Linked DNA regions of Lepisosteus oculatus. The protein of the gene in region 1 interacts with the protein of each later gene in a pairwise test. Links are inferred from orthologs where the notes say so. Each region holds a gene or a part of one and is shown on either strand. Other genes may lie near its edges.

The links.
Region 2: the proteins of top3b (region 1) and sprouty-related, EVH1 domain-containing protein 2 interact in binary tests that used the Homo sapiens proteins (3 or more experiments, as listed by UniProt). The link is inferred for Lepisosteus oculatus from reciprocal best matches to the Homo sapiens genes TOP3B and SPRED2.

The regions. Positions count from the first base shown.
Region 1 is NC_090717.1:2,012,072-2,019,476, reverse strand, and holds the start of top3b (DNA topoisomerase 3-beta-1), read left to right. Parts: upstream 1-3,969; 5' UTR 3,970-4,045; intron 4,046-4,563; 5' UTR 4,564-4,650; coding exon 4,651-4,720; intron 4,721-7,405. UniProt on the Homo sapiens protein: Releases the supercoiling and torsional tension of DNA introduced during the DNA replication and transcription by transiently cleaving and rejoining one strand of the DNA duplex.
Region 2 is NC_090712.1:9,018,057-9,025,341, forward strand, and holds the start of sprouty-related, EVH1 domain-containing protein 2, read left to right. Parts: upstream 1-4,127; 5' UTR 4,128-4,569; coding exon 4,570-4,595; intron 4,596-7,285. UniProt on the Homo sapiens protein: Negatively regulates Ras signaling pathways and downstream activation of MAP kinases. Recruits and translocates NF1 to the cell membrane, thereby enabling NF1-dependent hydrolysis of active GTP-bound Ras to inactive GDP-bound Ras.

The DNA.
Region 1 (7,405 bases):
AGAAGAAACATGATATGAAGAGATACTGAACTCCACTCTAGTCCTGGAGACAGGGGGTTTTCTAGCTCTGTTGAAAGAGGCTGCACCTGAAGAACTAAAAGCAATTCTTAAACTGGTCTATTTAAGACAATAATGAGTAGATAATCAGTTCAACAAGAGCTGAGCCAAAATGAAAAAACATCGGACACATAGGTCCTGCAGAACCAGGAATGCAGAACCCCTGCTGTACGAAATTTAAGAGCTACTTGAAGTATATCTTAAAGAGATCATTGTACCCAAACCCTCTGGAACACTGTCCAAAACTGTTGTCCAGTCCCTTGGTATTGTCACAGATGTTGGAAGGAACAAACTGTGGAGAGGAAGGAGAGTGGACAAAGACCCTAAGCGTAGTGGCAGAACAAGGGTTTAGCCCGGGCTCAGCAGGTCAGGGGTCATATAGAAACCAATGCCCTCAGGCAGCGGACATGGGGCGACCTGGTGCTAGGCGGGTCTTAGGACATCCAAAGGTCAATGCTGAGCAAAGGTGAATGAGTGACCCGGAAATATACAGAGAGAGAGACACCGGAAGGACAGCAAAGGACAGGAAACTAGGGACAGGACAGAGAAGGAGCGACAGGTATACTTAGATTTTCAGAAGCTCTTCAAATTTTAAGGAACTCTGTAATTGCAGATGTTAGGCATTCAGGGTAATCCATGCTCTTGGGTTAAGAGCTGATTAGTGGACAGGAAGAAGAGGTTAGGAATATGGTGTAAAAGCTCAAATTTAGGCTCTGGAATAGGATCACCACTCTTCCTAATTATATCAGAAATATCAAAGATATAAATTCTGGAATAGTTATCAAACCAGAAGGATTTGTGAACTTTATTGAAGCTGTGTAAGAAATTCAAAAAGATTTACTTTTAGATTAAGAACAGGGTTCCTCATTAAGACCCGGGCCAGCACTTGACAGAAGACATTTAATGTAGACAAGCACAAGGTGTTTCATGCAGGCAGGTTAGATTAAAGAGGTTACTTATAAAGACATCGTTTCTCTTGATCCAGATGAAGATATAGAGTTAAAAGTTTGGAAATGAAATTAAGGGGTGGTATGCTGAAAATGTATAATGCACAAGTCAAACGTCATTTACAAGATACAAGAATAATACTGCTTCTGTGGAGACAATCCAGATAAGAGCAATGAGCTGCCTTCCTGGGCTCTACAGAATGTCCTGTTCAGACTTAAATAATTACACTTCTCTCTGCTTGGACCAGAAAGGTAATGAATAAGACAATTCAAGGATTTACACAAATGCAGACTTTGGGAAAATGCATTTAAATGTGCACTTTAAATTGTAGTACAGGAGGCATCTTTACAAAAATGTTTGCAAGAGGAGGACTCAAGCTCCCCAGTCATCTTGTTAAAGCTGATACACTAACTTCTTTCCAACAATGGCTGGATGAGATTCCTTGATCCTTGATCAAGTAGCTACTGAAATACTGCACAGACAGGAGGGTCTGAATGGTGTCCTTGTCCTTATAAATCACAGGTGTTCTTTCTCTCCTGCCTTCTGTCTGGACACCAGATTTAAAGCAAATGGAGGGATTAGAGATGGTTACTGTCCGATACAAAAAGCAGAGCACCATCAGGTCTTTGAAATGTGTGTGGCTATGATGTCCTAAATGGCTGAGTTTATGACACTTGATGTGGAATAATTCCAGTTAATCCGAGAAAAAATAATTCAAGGGCTTTACAAGTTCGAAGAAACAAAAGCTTGCCATACCTTTCTCTGTGATAGAAAAGCCATTGGGACTCTTTCTTCTCTTCTTCTGCAGTTTTGCAGTCTTCCAGTTGGCTTATGAGTTGAAAGCAACTGACCATCCCTTTATATATAGTGTCTACATCACAGGAATGAAGGGGGCAGCAGCTGGGTTTCTTGTTTTCCAGTCAACAGTCCCAAGTTATCCTGGGATAAAGAGGAAATTCCCATAACTGATGAATTCGAGGTAGAGTGTGCCTCACTGCATGCTCTTTTCATTCAGCCCTCGAGATTTTGAAAGCACCTGTGTGGTGACACCTCTGTTAGTCAGAAGCAAAATGGATTGAGAAACTAGCTAATTCACACAGTGTCGAGGAGCATCAGGTTACAATATTTACTCCAAAAAGCTTGAGAGGGTGCCAATTTCCAGAGCCACCAATTATCGCATCTGCCCTGCAACAGGACATAATTATGATTTGCGTAGGAGTTATTAATTGCATCTTTTGCTTTATAGATTATATTAATCACTCACATAGTCCCTGTACCCATTTTTATTACCCTTCTACACATTATACTTTTGAGAACGTTTCTGGAAGATGAAGACACCTCTTAGGACAATGTTTCATAGTCCTAATTACAGAGGAGAGTCAAATCCTTTGACTGAACTCTTTGTTTAGAAAGACATTTTAATTTAACAATTTTCATAATCCTCAAGGTAATCCAGCTGTTTGAGTGGGGTTACTTCTGTGTTGAGCTCTGGGTTTTAGAACATTCCTTAGTAATGTGTCCTGTTTCAGTGACAGGGTTTTTGCAATTTCAGCTGTCTAACAACTGCCACATTATCATAAGTGTGTATTGCAAAATATGGTTTAATTGTTTACTTACAGGCTAGAGCAATTTGTCATTAAGAGCAACAGTTCCATGCAAATTGTGTTACTCTTGTGGCAGTATCAATATGACATTTGTCCACAACATGGAAAAATGTGTATGTGAATTAAATTAAAGCAAAAGGGGTTTTATTTAGCCAGCTCAAGGAAAGCCCCAATCCACTCACTCTTATAGATCATCTGTTTCTAAAGATTAGTAGAAATAAACAAGACTTCTGTTCAATTATCAGAACTCTGCCTTTGAAGGCTCATGGGGTTTGGTATGAGGTCACAAAGGATTATCATCACCGCAGTGTGGTGGCTCTGTGACTCAGGACCTGCAGCTGTGGCTGGAAGGTTGCCAGTTCGTATCCCGTGGCCGGCAGAGGAATCCTACTCTGTTGGACCCCTGAGCAAGGCCCTTAACTCCAACTGCTCCAGGGGCGCCGTATAAATGGCTGACCCTGCGCTCTGACCCCCAGCTTCTCTCCCTGTCTGTGTGTCTCATGATGAGCAAGCAGGGGTCTGTGAAAAGACAAATTCCTAATACAAGAAATTGTATATGGCCAATAAAGTGATCTTATTAAAATTACTGTTCTTTTGTCCTTAGAAAGTGGCGAGTTATAGAAGTTGCTGAATTGGGGCTCTACAAGGGGAGAGGATGGAGATCCCCTGATTTAGACTTCGAGATTGAACATTGTTCATGTTGACGTTATGCAGCTCAGATGAGTTGCCAGACCCTGTTTTGGATCACGGTATTGGGTTTTTAGGGGATGTGTGCAGTGTGTGGCAGGAGGAATTGACTGAAAGTCAAACATCTGGTCCCAAGCAATTTACATCATTTGCAATTGTTAAAATTGTGTAGCAAAGCATGTGCATGAGTACATTCATTCATATTGAAGCCTAATGGTAAATATATTGCATATTTGAGGCGATCAGAAGTAATTTAGATGGAGTTATACAAATTTACGATATACATTAGTTTTATCTGCAGAAGGACGTTTGCAAGTCTGTCTTGTTTATAGCTATATTGTTTATACACTGTATATTTTCTGTTCCCGCAGCACAGTTACACGTCTGGAGTCTAAAAATGTAAATGTGCCATGTTTTATAAAATTAACTTATCAATATAAGCTAAACAAACAGCCATTATTCGCCGTATCGTCCAGGCGCGATTAAAAGCAACATCTCAAAAGTATCCAAGTATTCGTGAAGTTGGTAACAATTGCTGAGGGGAAAAGGAACTTGCTGTCAGAGAATCTGCTGATCATTTCAAAATACCCACACCACGCAAAAAACTAAAAGAATCGAATTGGATTATATTTGATATTTTACTGTAAAATCAAGGAGCTGAACTCGTCGTGACCCGGAAGTGTATCAGCCAAGTCGTGGGTGTCATGGCGTCTTCCAGTATCTTCATAACCCGACTCCTGCTCTCTTCTGTAAGGTTTTGTTTGTACTATTACTGTATAATTCTAACTACTGTAGTGGCTTTGAGCGTCACTAGAATTATCTCGATTACCTTATTTATTGGTAAAATTTAATTTTCAGCTGTGAAGGAACTAATTTAGAAAGTGAAGATTCTGAAGCGAAAATTTAAGTTAGAATAGCGCAGTTTTTTATTATGTATACCATAGGACGTTTGACGTTGTTAATCTGCTTTCAGTCTAAATTTAGGCTTTTATTAATTATATTATCATCTGTGTAAGTCAGATTACACCAGAGTATTCATAAAATCATACTAATAATACAATATTCAATACTGATCAAAATTAGCCGTAGGAATCAACTTGTGATTTGTTTTTTGAATGTTGATTTGTAGGGTGTTCAATTATAACTGTGTTCAGGTCCGCCTCGGCCTATTATGAAACGTCTTCTTAATAAGTTTCAAGTTTCAAGTATGTCGTTCTTACAGTAGCAGCAGACACTGTTAGCTGATGTGAGATCGTTTTTTCTTCAGTCGCAGTGAGTAATAACTGGCCTCCAAGAGTTATCCGATTGTCTGCGTACGAAGTCGAACCTGCGACTCTCCATCTGCAATCCCGAAATGAAGACTGTCTTGATGGTAGCTGAGAAGCCCTCTTTGGCTCAGTCTATAGCGAAGATCCTTTCAAAAGGTGGGTCAATACCTCTGAGGAGGAGCACAGTGTCTGTACTGTTTCTTTCTCCCTTGGCATATGTGATATCATCAAGCTCAATGTTCGCTTACATAGACCAGTGTCACATTTATCTGAGGTCCTCATTGTGTTGAGAATGTAAAGAGCCTTAGAAAACCTGCTAGCCCCTCTCTCTCAAGGGCCAGAGCTGTGCACGTATGGACTAGTGTCTCCTGGGTTTTGTTTAGACCTGAGCGGTTAATAAAACAATCTAAATGATTTTTGAGTCATGTATAGGATGCCTCTTGAAGTCTTTTAACAATTGGTTACTCAAGGGATTCACATCATTTGCAGTCCCCTCTGAGTCCCGCCCTGGCTAGGAGTATTACTGTCCTGAAGTTACATACACTATGTAGTTGAGAGCCCAGGTTTAATGAAAAGGAGAAGAGACTGAACCCTCTTTTCGGAACTGGTTTGGGACTCCTACTTTAAATCTTGATGGAGTTGTTCTATTTCCTTTATATGCATACATTCGAGATGTAGTTTACAGTTTTAGCTATATGATGTGTTTGGTTTGTTCATTTATCCTGCGTTTTATAGCTGTGGTTTGGCTTAGTTTTGATGGTCCCGGATAAAATATATGAATTGTAAGTCTCACAAAAGCAGCCAGTGTATTTTAAATGATCAGTCAGGACACACATACACAGTTAATGTTATTCATTTTATTTTAGGATCCAACATTGAAGGCAACATTAAGCAAAACCATTAGAAAAGATAGTAACATGTTGAAAACATGACTTAGCTTACATTTTCTGACATATTCACTGTTTGTTCTGGCATTCGTGTTTAAATGGCAACTGCCATCACTTTTCTGGATTATTGCTAGATGTCTCGAATGCATATCTACCCTTTGTCACTGCTATTTCACCTTTACAGGAGATCTTATCCACGGACAATTTCTGGACTTTCAGAGTAGGCTAAACTCCGAAGGTGCTGTCCGAAACCAAATAGATTTAGCCCATTCTGACTTTGCAACTCTAAGGAAAAAAATGAAAAGCTGTTGTGACTCTGTAAAGGAATAAGAGACAGCACCTCTCCCTCTTTCTTTTGAGCTTCGACAGCCAGAATTTTACGTAACTCACCTTAAATATACCTGGATACCTCAGCTAAATATAGGTGTGTATTCATGTATTCTTCTTTCATTCTAAAAGTGTTAAGCGCATTAAGTTGTATTCAACATGTACCATTTTGCTTGTGGTCCGTGGAGTGTATTGGTTCTGTATGGATTGATAAAGTAGAATGGAAACATTAACCACTTTTTTTCCTTCCTTTTGCTTTGCCTTCAAGAGGCAATCAGTTTCCAGCATCAAAACATATAATGTCCACATATTAACATTCTAAGTTGTGCAAGCTTTGTGAACATTGGTAAAGTGCATTTTTTTAACTTTTTAAAGTATCTTTTTATTCTTAGTTAGGCTCGTATTAGTCAAGCTTACTGCTGTCTGGCTGTGGCACATATACAGGCTATCCTAATCGTTTCCTGCTCCACTGAATAGCTGGCACACTTGTCTTTTTTCTTAAGCACAGGGATTGTGATGGAAAGGGGGATGCTTTCTAAACTGGAGGCGCTGTCCTTCACTTTCTCACAGTTGTGACTGGAAGTGCAGTGGGCTTCGTGGATAACCTGGGGTATCCGGTTCACGTCCATCTTCACCCTGCAAAATAAAATGAACAGTGCTCGCCATCAGTTTGCTCGTGGTACACAGATGCACCAGAACAGAAATCTGCAACCCCAAGGTCTGGGTTTTGCCACAGGGAAAACTTCAGAAGTGCTGTGATTTTAACAAAATTGTTGATGAACTGCCAAAGGCCTGGAAGTTGAAAGGAGAGAATGCAGTAACTGTATCGACAATGACGCTTCATAAGTTAAGACTCTCTGATGTGCCTGGCTTCCAAATGAACTTTTGTACACAGCTGTGTGTTTTTACTGGAACTGCCTGCGTGAAGCACCTTGCTTTAGAGTACAGCAGCAGTTCCTATTGATCCAAATCCCTCCAGCAGTGTTAGTATATAGGTCCAACACAACTACACCCATCAGCTGACTGACGTGTGTGTCGCTTGCTAAATGAGATTTCTGAGGGCTTGTCTCAAGACTTCAGTTATTGTTAACAACACAAACGTCTTGTCTGTACAGATATAAAAAAACTTTCTGACAAGTATTGAGGGAAGTCATTTTGTGCAACTTTGATCTTTCCAAGTCAGGTCATCAATATTTTCCATGTATGTTTAACTACCACATTGCATTCTGCAGGATAGAGCTTCACTAAATGGAAGTTTGTGCTGTTATCCATCAGTTTTATACCCGATGTCATGCATGATTTCACTAAAATATTACATTCTGTACAAAACATTAAAACAGTTAAATGATCCTTAAGCCGTTGCTGTGATTAGACATGGTTTCGATGGTAAATCTAGCTAGCAATACACTGATGTCAAGTTGAAACATGAGGAATCATAGCTGAAAAACATGAGGTGTACTTACACATAGTTCCAGGGTGCCACACTCCGCTCATAGAGCCTGTCGGGCATGTCGATGATCTGGAAATCAAACTGGTCTAGAATGCCTGAGCAGAGCACAGAGGACTGATTCTGTGTATTTTCCTCGCACCTCACTGGATTGCTGCTGCCGCTGGGACTTAAAATCAG
Region 2 (7,285 bases), on another chromosome or scaffold:
AATCCATATTTTGTGTTTTAAATGTAGACATTTTGTTCATTTTAACTTGAAATTGAAATACAATTGATGCTACTAACATAAACACGTTGCAATGTATGACAAAAGCTTTCCCATTACACTCTGAAATTGAAGCTCTCTGACCTTGAACATTACCTCATCTGATTGAGCTGTTTTCCATTCACAGCAAACCTATTCCAACCCTAAACTAGCAGGCAGGATAATACCTGTCTGGTTGATGTAACTGAAAAACAAAAATGTTCAGTAAAATGTCCTCATTATTAAGAACCAAATTAATAATTTTCTTCTTTGTTACATCACCTAGAACATGCTGAGGGGGGGGATATTTACATAATGCAAAACACCAGATTTATATGATTGTACAGCAGAGTATTATGTATTTTAATGTGCAGTCCAGACAGAACTACAGTTATCAGATGATAGTAGAAGATAGCTTTGTAAAACAACTTTAAAAGAGCATCAGCAAGGACTTTTAATGCTTAGATAAATACATTTAACTCATGGGACATGCAGTCTAAGTCCTTTTCTTTATGAATTCCATTCCAGCAGAGCAGATGCTTGATCAATTCTAACAAAACAAAATGTTTAAATATGTGTGATATTAGGGCATTGTATTTATCGGCAATACATTAACAGAGTGTCCAGCGATTTGAGGCTACTGTTGGAATACAATAATTATTGTTCTTCACAAACTTAGTTACAAGAAAAACACCTGTTAGTATACCAGCAACTTTCTGTTCACCTTTAGAATGACCTTTAAAAATTGACCACATGCATATCACTGCATCACAACTTCCAGCCTATAACATAATTGAAGTTTCAAATTGTACACAATAATGAAGATGTCAGCATGATATTTTACTGAAGTTTTCAGTAATATATAAAGGCGAGTCACTTTTTCAATATCATCTACAACACGTTTACATTGAACATCAAATTAAACCAACTTTAATTGAATGTATGATTGTATTTCAGTAAAAAAAAAATAAATTAATTAATTAATAAATACATTGCTTACACTTATATAGCGCTTTTCTGGACACTCCACTCAAAGCGCTTTACAGGTAATGGGGACCCCCCCCCACCTGGATGATGCGACGCCAGCCATAGTGCACCAGAACGCTCACCACACATCAGCTATCAGTGGGGAGGAAAGCAGAGTTATGAAGCCAGTTCATAGATTCATAAATATACCATCTTTTTGGGGTCATAGGGGATAACAGTGTGGAGGTCAACACAGTCAACCTAAATCCCACTGCAAACAAGACAGTAAAATAAAGACAACAGTATAGTTAAAGGAGGTCTTTACATGGAATTCATAACATTTCCCTTCTGTTCATCATGTTGTTGAAGATAAATGCTTCTCTCTACAACTGCTTCACTTCAAGTAGGGAGTTGTTTACATCAGTACAGGAATGACAGATAGTTGTAGACAGACGGAATTCCTCCCCAAGAACCTCTCCAATCTGTTCTTTCATCTTTACAATTGTTTTAGCAGAAACATAACAGAAAAATATATATATTTTTTTTTTTTACACGAAGAGCTGTCACAAAGTCAATTAATCTGATGGGTTTATTTGGAATCAACGGTGAAACACAATCTAGAGGGCAAGGGTGGAAACTACAGGGAAGTACACTGTAAACTGGCCAGCAGCCATATCACCCTGCAACTCACAACTGGCAGCCCACTGAAGCTAAGCAGGTGTGAGCCTGGTCAGTACCTGGATGGGAGACCTCCTGGGGAAAACTAAGGTTGCTGCTGGAAGAGGTGTTAGTGGGGCCAGCAGGGGGTGCTTACCCTGTGGTCCATGTGGGTCCTAATGCCCCAGTATAAAGGATGAGATGTAAAACCGAGGTCCTGACTCTCTGTGGTCATTAAAATTCCTGGCCAAATTCCCCATTGGCCCTTACCAATCATGGCCTCCTAATAATACCCATCTATGAATTGGCTTCATTACTCTGCTCTCCTCCCCACTGATACCTGATGTGTGGTGAGTGCTCTGGCGCACTATGGCTGCTGTTGCATCATCCAGGTGGATGCTGCACATTGGTGGTGGTGGAGGGGAGTTCCCATTACCTGTAAAGCGCTTTGAGTGGAGTGTCTAGAAAAGTGCTATATAAGTGTAAGCAATTATTATTATTATTATTAAACTGAGAAAACTAGACACCTGTTTACACAAAGGGTTGTGGGAGTCTGGAACAAGGTTTGCCACGTTTTCAAAGCCAGTACCCTGGCTTTCAAGAACTGGCTGAAAAGAAATTGTGTAAGAGCAGTCAATCGAGATTGTTTTATGTTCTTGTGTTGTTCCATTTTTGAGTGTCTGCAATTGAGATGTTAATGGAATCCAAGCCTAGGATGGTTCTACCCAGAATAATGTCACATGGGAAATCAGCAAGGTGTTCTTCAGTTTACAAAACAATTTTCATCCTTTGCAAGTTTAATGGGGCTAAAATTGAATAAAGTTGTAAGACAGAACCTCATCCCCTGCATTTTGTGCAATTTGTCTTGTAATACACTAGAATACTGAATGTAAATATTTATGAAATGGCTTCAGTACCTTCTCTCACACAGTTTGAATATGATGAACCTCTACTGCTTATTTATGGGTAATTAAAGACCTGTTGGAGGATTTCATTCTTACAAAGCAAGGTCTCTACCTTCTTTTAACTGTGTTGCTCTCATGGGTAATTAATAACATGTCTGTAATAGGTCTTTAGTTAGAATTGCAGTATTTCAGGTTAACCTTCAATACGTTAAACACATCTTCTCAATGTTTCCACTTGTTTGCACAGTCTTTTCTAGTGTAGTATTTCTACTCTAAGCGTTTCACTTGATATACGGGGTATGAGAAGACGTTTCAATGTGGTTTGGCAGCAGCTCGTTGTCTGGCCCGAAGGTATTAGAGGGAGTGATCAGGTTGGCCCAGTCCATGTTTCGAGTTAGCCCCCCTCTGCTGTGGACATTTTTACAAGGCTGGAAGGATTGCTAAAGATAACAATCATCCTGGTTTCTCACTTTTGTCTCCCCTTCCCTCTGGTAAGCGTTATAGGAGCATAAAGGCAAGTACGTCCAGATACAGCGACAGCTTTCCCCTGCACTGTCAGATTATTGAACTCTATACTCTATACCTCTATCTTCGACTCACGCTGATGTTTTTTGCACACTGCGTGTGCTGACTTGCATTTAAATTGTGTGTTATTTAACAATGTTGTTGCTGTGGCTGTCCTGTGTTAATGTTCGGTGTTTCCTTAATGTATCTATATTGTAGTATTCCTGCAAATAAGCATTCCATTGCACTCTAAAAGACGATGTATGTTAAATTTGGACTGCCACTCGGTTGAAGGACAAAACATTTTGGTTAAAAATCCCATGCGTTCTTAGAAGGGAGTGCAAAAAAATAAATACCACCACGAGAGACATCGGGAATTGGGACATACGTTTCAATCAATGTGACAGAACAAATTGCTGGTATCTGCTTAAAATTAAGCATAGGCTTCACTCTCTGCTCTTTACCATGAGAAGAGTCTCCTTTATGTCCAAAAAAGTCAGATCTTATTCGATTCCAAAAGTTGCCGATATACTGCAGAATTCAATAAGACGATTTCGCAAATTATCGTCTTATATTTTTGTGTGTGGTTGGGAAGAATATAAAGTACGACGCAACTGTTAAGGCAAAAAGCCTGTACTACGAGGCGTTTTAGTGGTGTCAATGCATGCACGTTTTTCAAAAGGGCCGATAAACTAAACCTACGCCCAAATTAACGTTTTTAAAACTTTTAAGACTCCCCCAACTTTAACCATTTTAACACCCACGGTAATGTGTGCGGTCTATTCGCTGTTTTCAGTCAGTTGTTTCTACCATTAAACATTCTTTTATTGGCAGGAACGGCTAAAACAAAATGATTGCTGCGCTGGTGCCATAACGTGGAAATCCGCAAAGCCCGGGAAGCAGTCTATTCAGTACGAGCAGTTATAATTAGACGTGAAACAGGATGGCACCCGTCTTTAGAATAACTTGGCTCCCACGACAGCCTAGCACTATTTCATGAAGAGGTGTCCCGGACGACGAGCTGCCGCGGACGGTTACGGCTCTCCAGTCTCTTGACACGGGCGGGCGGCCCGCAGTCGAGCTGGTTGCTAAGCTGACGTCATCGCTTCCGCCCTGCTTCTCCTCCTCCCGTGTCGGCGGCGCTGCTGCCGAGAGAATCCAACATGGAGTAACAGGAGATGGGGCTCGTACGGGGCCACCCTCAGCAACATCACCGCACACTCACAACGACGGGCTTTCGGTAATCAAATTCACACTCCAGCACGGCAGGCGGAAAAAAAGGGGAGGAGGAGGAGGACGAGGAGGAGGAGGTGGTGGTGGTGGAGGGGGAAACGTGTGTGTGTGTGGGGGGAAATCACACATTCGGTGGACCTGCACATCCAAAACAGCAACAAGAAAGCAACAGGAAAACCGGTACAATGTGAAAAACACCGGAGAGAGGAAAATGAAGAGCGCCGAGTGTTCACCCGCTGTGGGAAATTATTGTAGGTGAAAAGAGAAAATGACCGAAGAAACACACCCAGACGAGTAAGTTGGTTGCTGTTTCTTTTTTTTTTCCCCTTGTTTGTGGATTTTGCACTGGAGCTGGAGCTGGTGTGTGTCTTGTGTGTGGTGTGGTGTGGTGTGGTGGGGTTGTTAGTCAAGCTCTCCTTGCGACTTTGCATCTGCTGTTGGGCTTTGCGTTTCGGAGAAGTGAAGTTTGGCCAAGTTGCGGCACTGTTCCGGAGTTGGGAACAGCTTTGTGCTGCCGCAGGCATGACAGGGAAGAGGGGGAAGATCGGGCCTCTTTCTCTGTCATAGAGCGAGTCTTCAGAGCGGAGCGGAGAGAGAGGAGGGGGGCAGAGAGGGTGGAGGTGGATTGGAAACATTTGGTGGAAAAAAAAGGGATAAACGGTAAACAGATTTGGTTTCGTAGGAAAGTGGCGGACGACCTGCGGGTCGCTGTGCAGGCGCCGACGCCGTGTTGTTGTCGTTGCGGGTTGTGTTGTGCGTCTTGGCGGAGCGGGCGGCGCGCCGAGGTGCGGGGAAGAGGGCAGGCGCTCCTGCGGGCTTTGTGGTGTTTGTTTTGACAAAGACGAGGCATGAGAAGGGGCTTTCTCTCCGTGGAAGTGAATCAACTGATAGGCAATATCCGCCATTTCTTTTCTTGAATCGCTCTCATTTGCATACCGCACTCATTCATAAAAACGCGACCCGGAGGAGCGGTGTGTGTGGTGGTGTGTATATCGGGGGGGGCTGCTGTTTACAGGAAGCAGTTTTGACTTTTAAAACCAAAACACCTTTTTCATTTTGCTGGAAGACGCACGGTTTGCTGCTTCAGCCTGAATGTTTCATAATGCCGCTGTAGGACGGATCCCGACAATGATGGTCTTTGGACAGTGAACCCGAAACTTAAATACCCACATCACACTTCTGCGTTTATTTTCACAGTGTAGCATTAATGGAAGAGACTCTACTGTAATATTCTACGCGTGTTAAAACGTCATTAAAGGGTTTGCGCGACAAGATATGTTGGGTGTCTTTTATTCGAAAACGTTAGCTGACGTTCTCCGATTGTTTTTTTTTTAACCTAAGAGAGTGCATCTGTGCATCATTGAAATCCGTGGAGTGATGGGCACAGTCCGGTCCAGTTCAGTTTAATGGGTAACGCGAACGCACGTTGAGTTACAGGCATGAGGAGGGGTGGGTGTGTTCTTGAACAATGCGGTGGCGGTCACATGACCCTGGTCATTCACAAATGCGGTAACCTTCAGCCTCCTCCATTCATGCTTGGACCTGCCGCACCTTGAGAGTCAGCAGGATGCAAAACAGTACCCCCTCCCCCCCTGCGAGGATCGCTGTTACACTTTAATGTCATTAGGATCACAGGAGACACTGGCCAGGTTCACACCCCCGTTTTAAGTGCGCATTAAAGGTCTGGAAAACGCGCGTTATCTTCCGACAGAAGTGTCTCCTGTCCTTGGCGCCACGGTAGTTTACCCTGCATTGTAATTAAATAGATACGCAAACGTTAGGAATGAAAGACGATTCCATTCGTTAGTAACCTAATTCAGGACATTGTCGGTCATTTTTGTCTAACTAGTGTAACTTAATCGGTCGTGCTAAATGCAATTAGCACCCTTTTTTGGGGGGGACCAGAAGCAGGTTCTTTTTTTAAACTCCTGGGTATTGGTTCAGAGAATTACGAACTGTAATAGAAAGTAATTACTGTATGACTTGTCACACACCATGTTATCGGATTCCCACACACCCTGCCGAGTACACAAATGAGTCAAGCTCAAGCAGGAAATGGGAAGGTCCAGAAACGTGTTGATTTATGGTGCACGATGTGTACCTGCTAAGGGAGGAAAGGGTACTTGTGTTAACTGGTGTTGAGTGGCAGCTGAGTAGTGATGAGGGTTCTGGATACTGCAGTGGGTGTTGTGGGTTTCAGTCCCAGACAGGGAGCTCCTATTGCACCCTGAAGCTAGTTACTTATCTAAGATTGCCCCCACTAAAGTCCCTACAGTAAAACTGGGTACTCCAGGTACATGAAAGTTAGTTCTCTCTAATTGTTTGAGTAGGTCAAGAGTGAAAGTAAATAACCCAGGTGTAGACATAAGTCCCTTTACTCACCTGTCAGTGTTGGCCACTGTTCTTGTTGCTCAGTTGATCAGAGCCCACCCCCTTCTCTGGGCTTTTTCTGTCCCTTTCAGTGATATAAAAAAACCCACTGGTAATCTCTGCCCAAGCAGTTGACTGCATTATTTTAAAACACGTCTACGTCTTATAATATAGTGCAGGCTACTAATTAAATCTATTGAAGAGAGTTCGCTCTCTGGTGATGGAGTCATCTTTAAGGGTTTGAATGGTTTGGCTCTTGACTTCAGCTGTAAACTCCATGTGCACACTTGTGCTCCTTGGACTCTGGCCTTCCGATTGTTCCCAGTACAAGGCCATGTTCCTTGGGAGGCTGTGCTGTTTGTTCCGTTCCTCCGAAGATGTGTAGGAGAATGATCTCCCAGCCTCTCATCTCCCAGAGTGACCTAATCAAAAAATCCTGTTTAAAAAATTACCTTTATAGCCTAGTGTTTAATTGCTTCATTTGTTATGGTGCGTGTTCGTGTGTTTCAAATATTTTTGCTTTGTTTTATTGGAAATCACCTTGAAATGGTATCATGGAAGTCGCAATATAAAATATTTATTTTCATCCTTACGGAAGGTAGTGGAAGAGTATA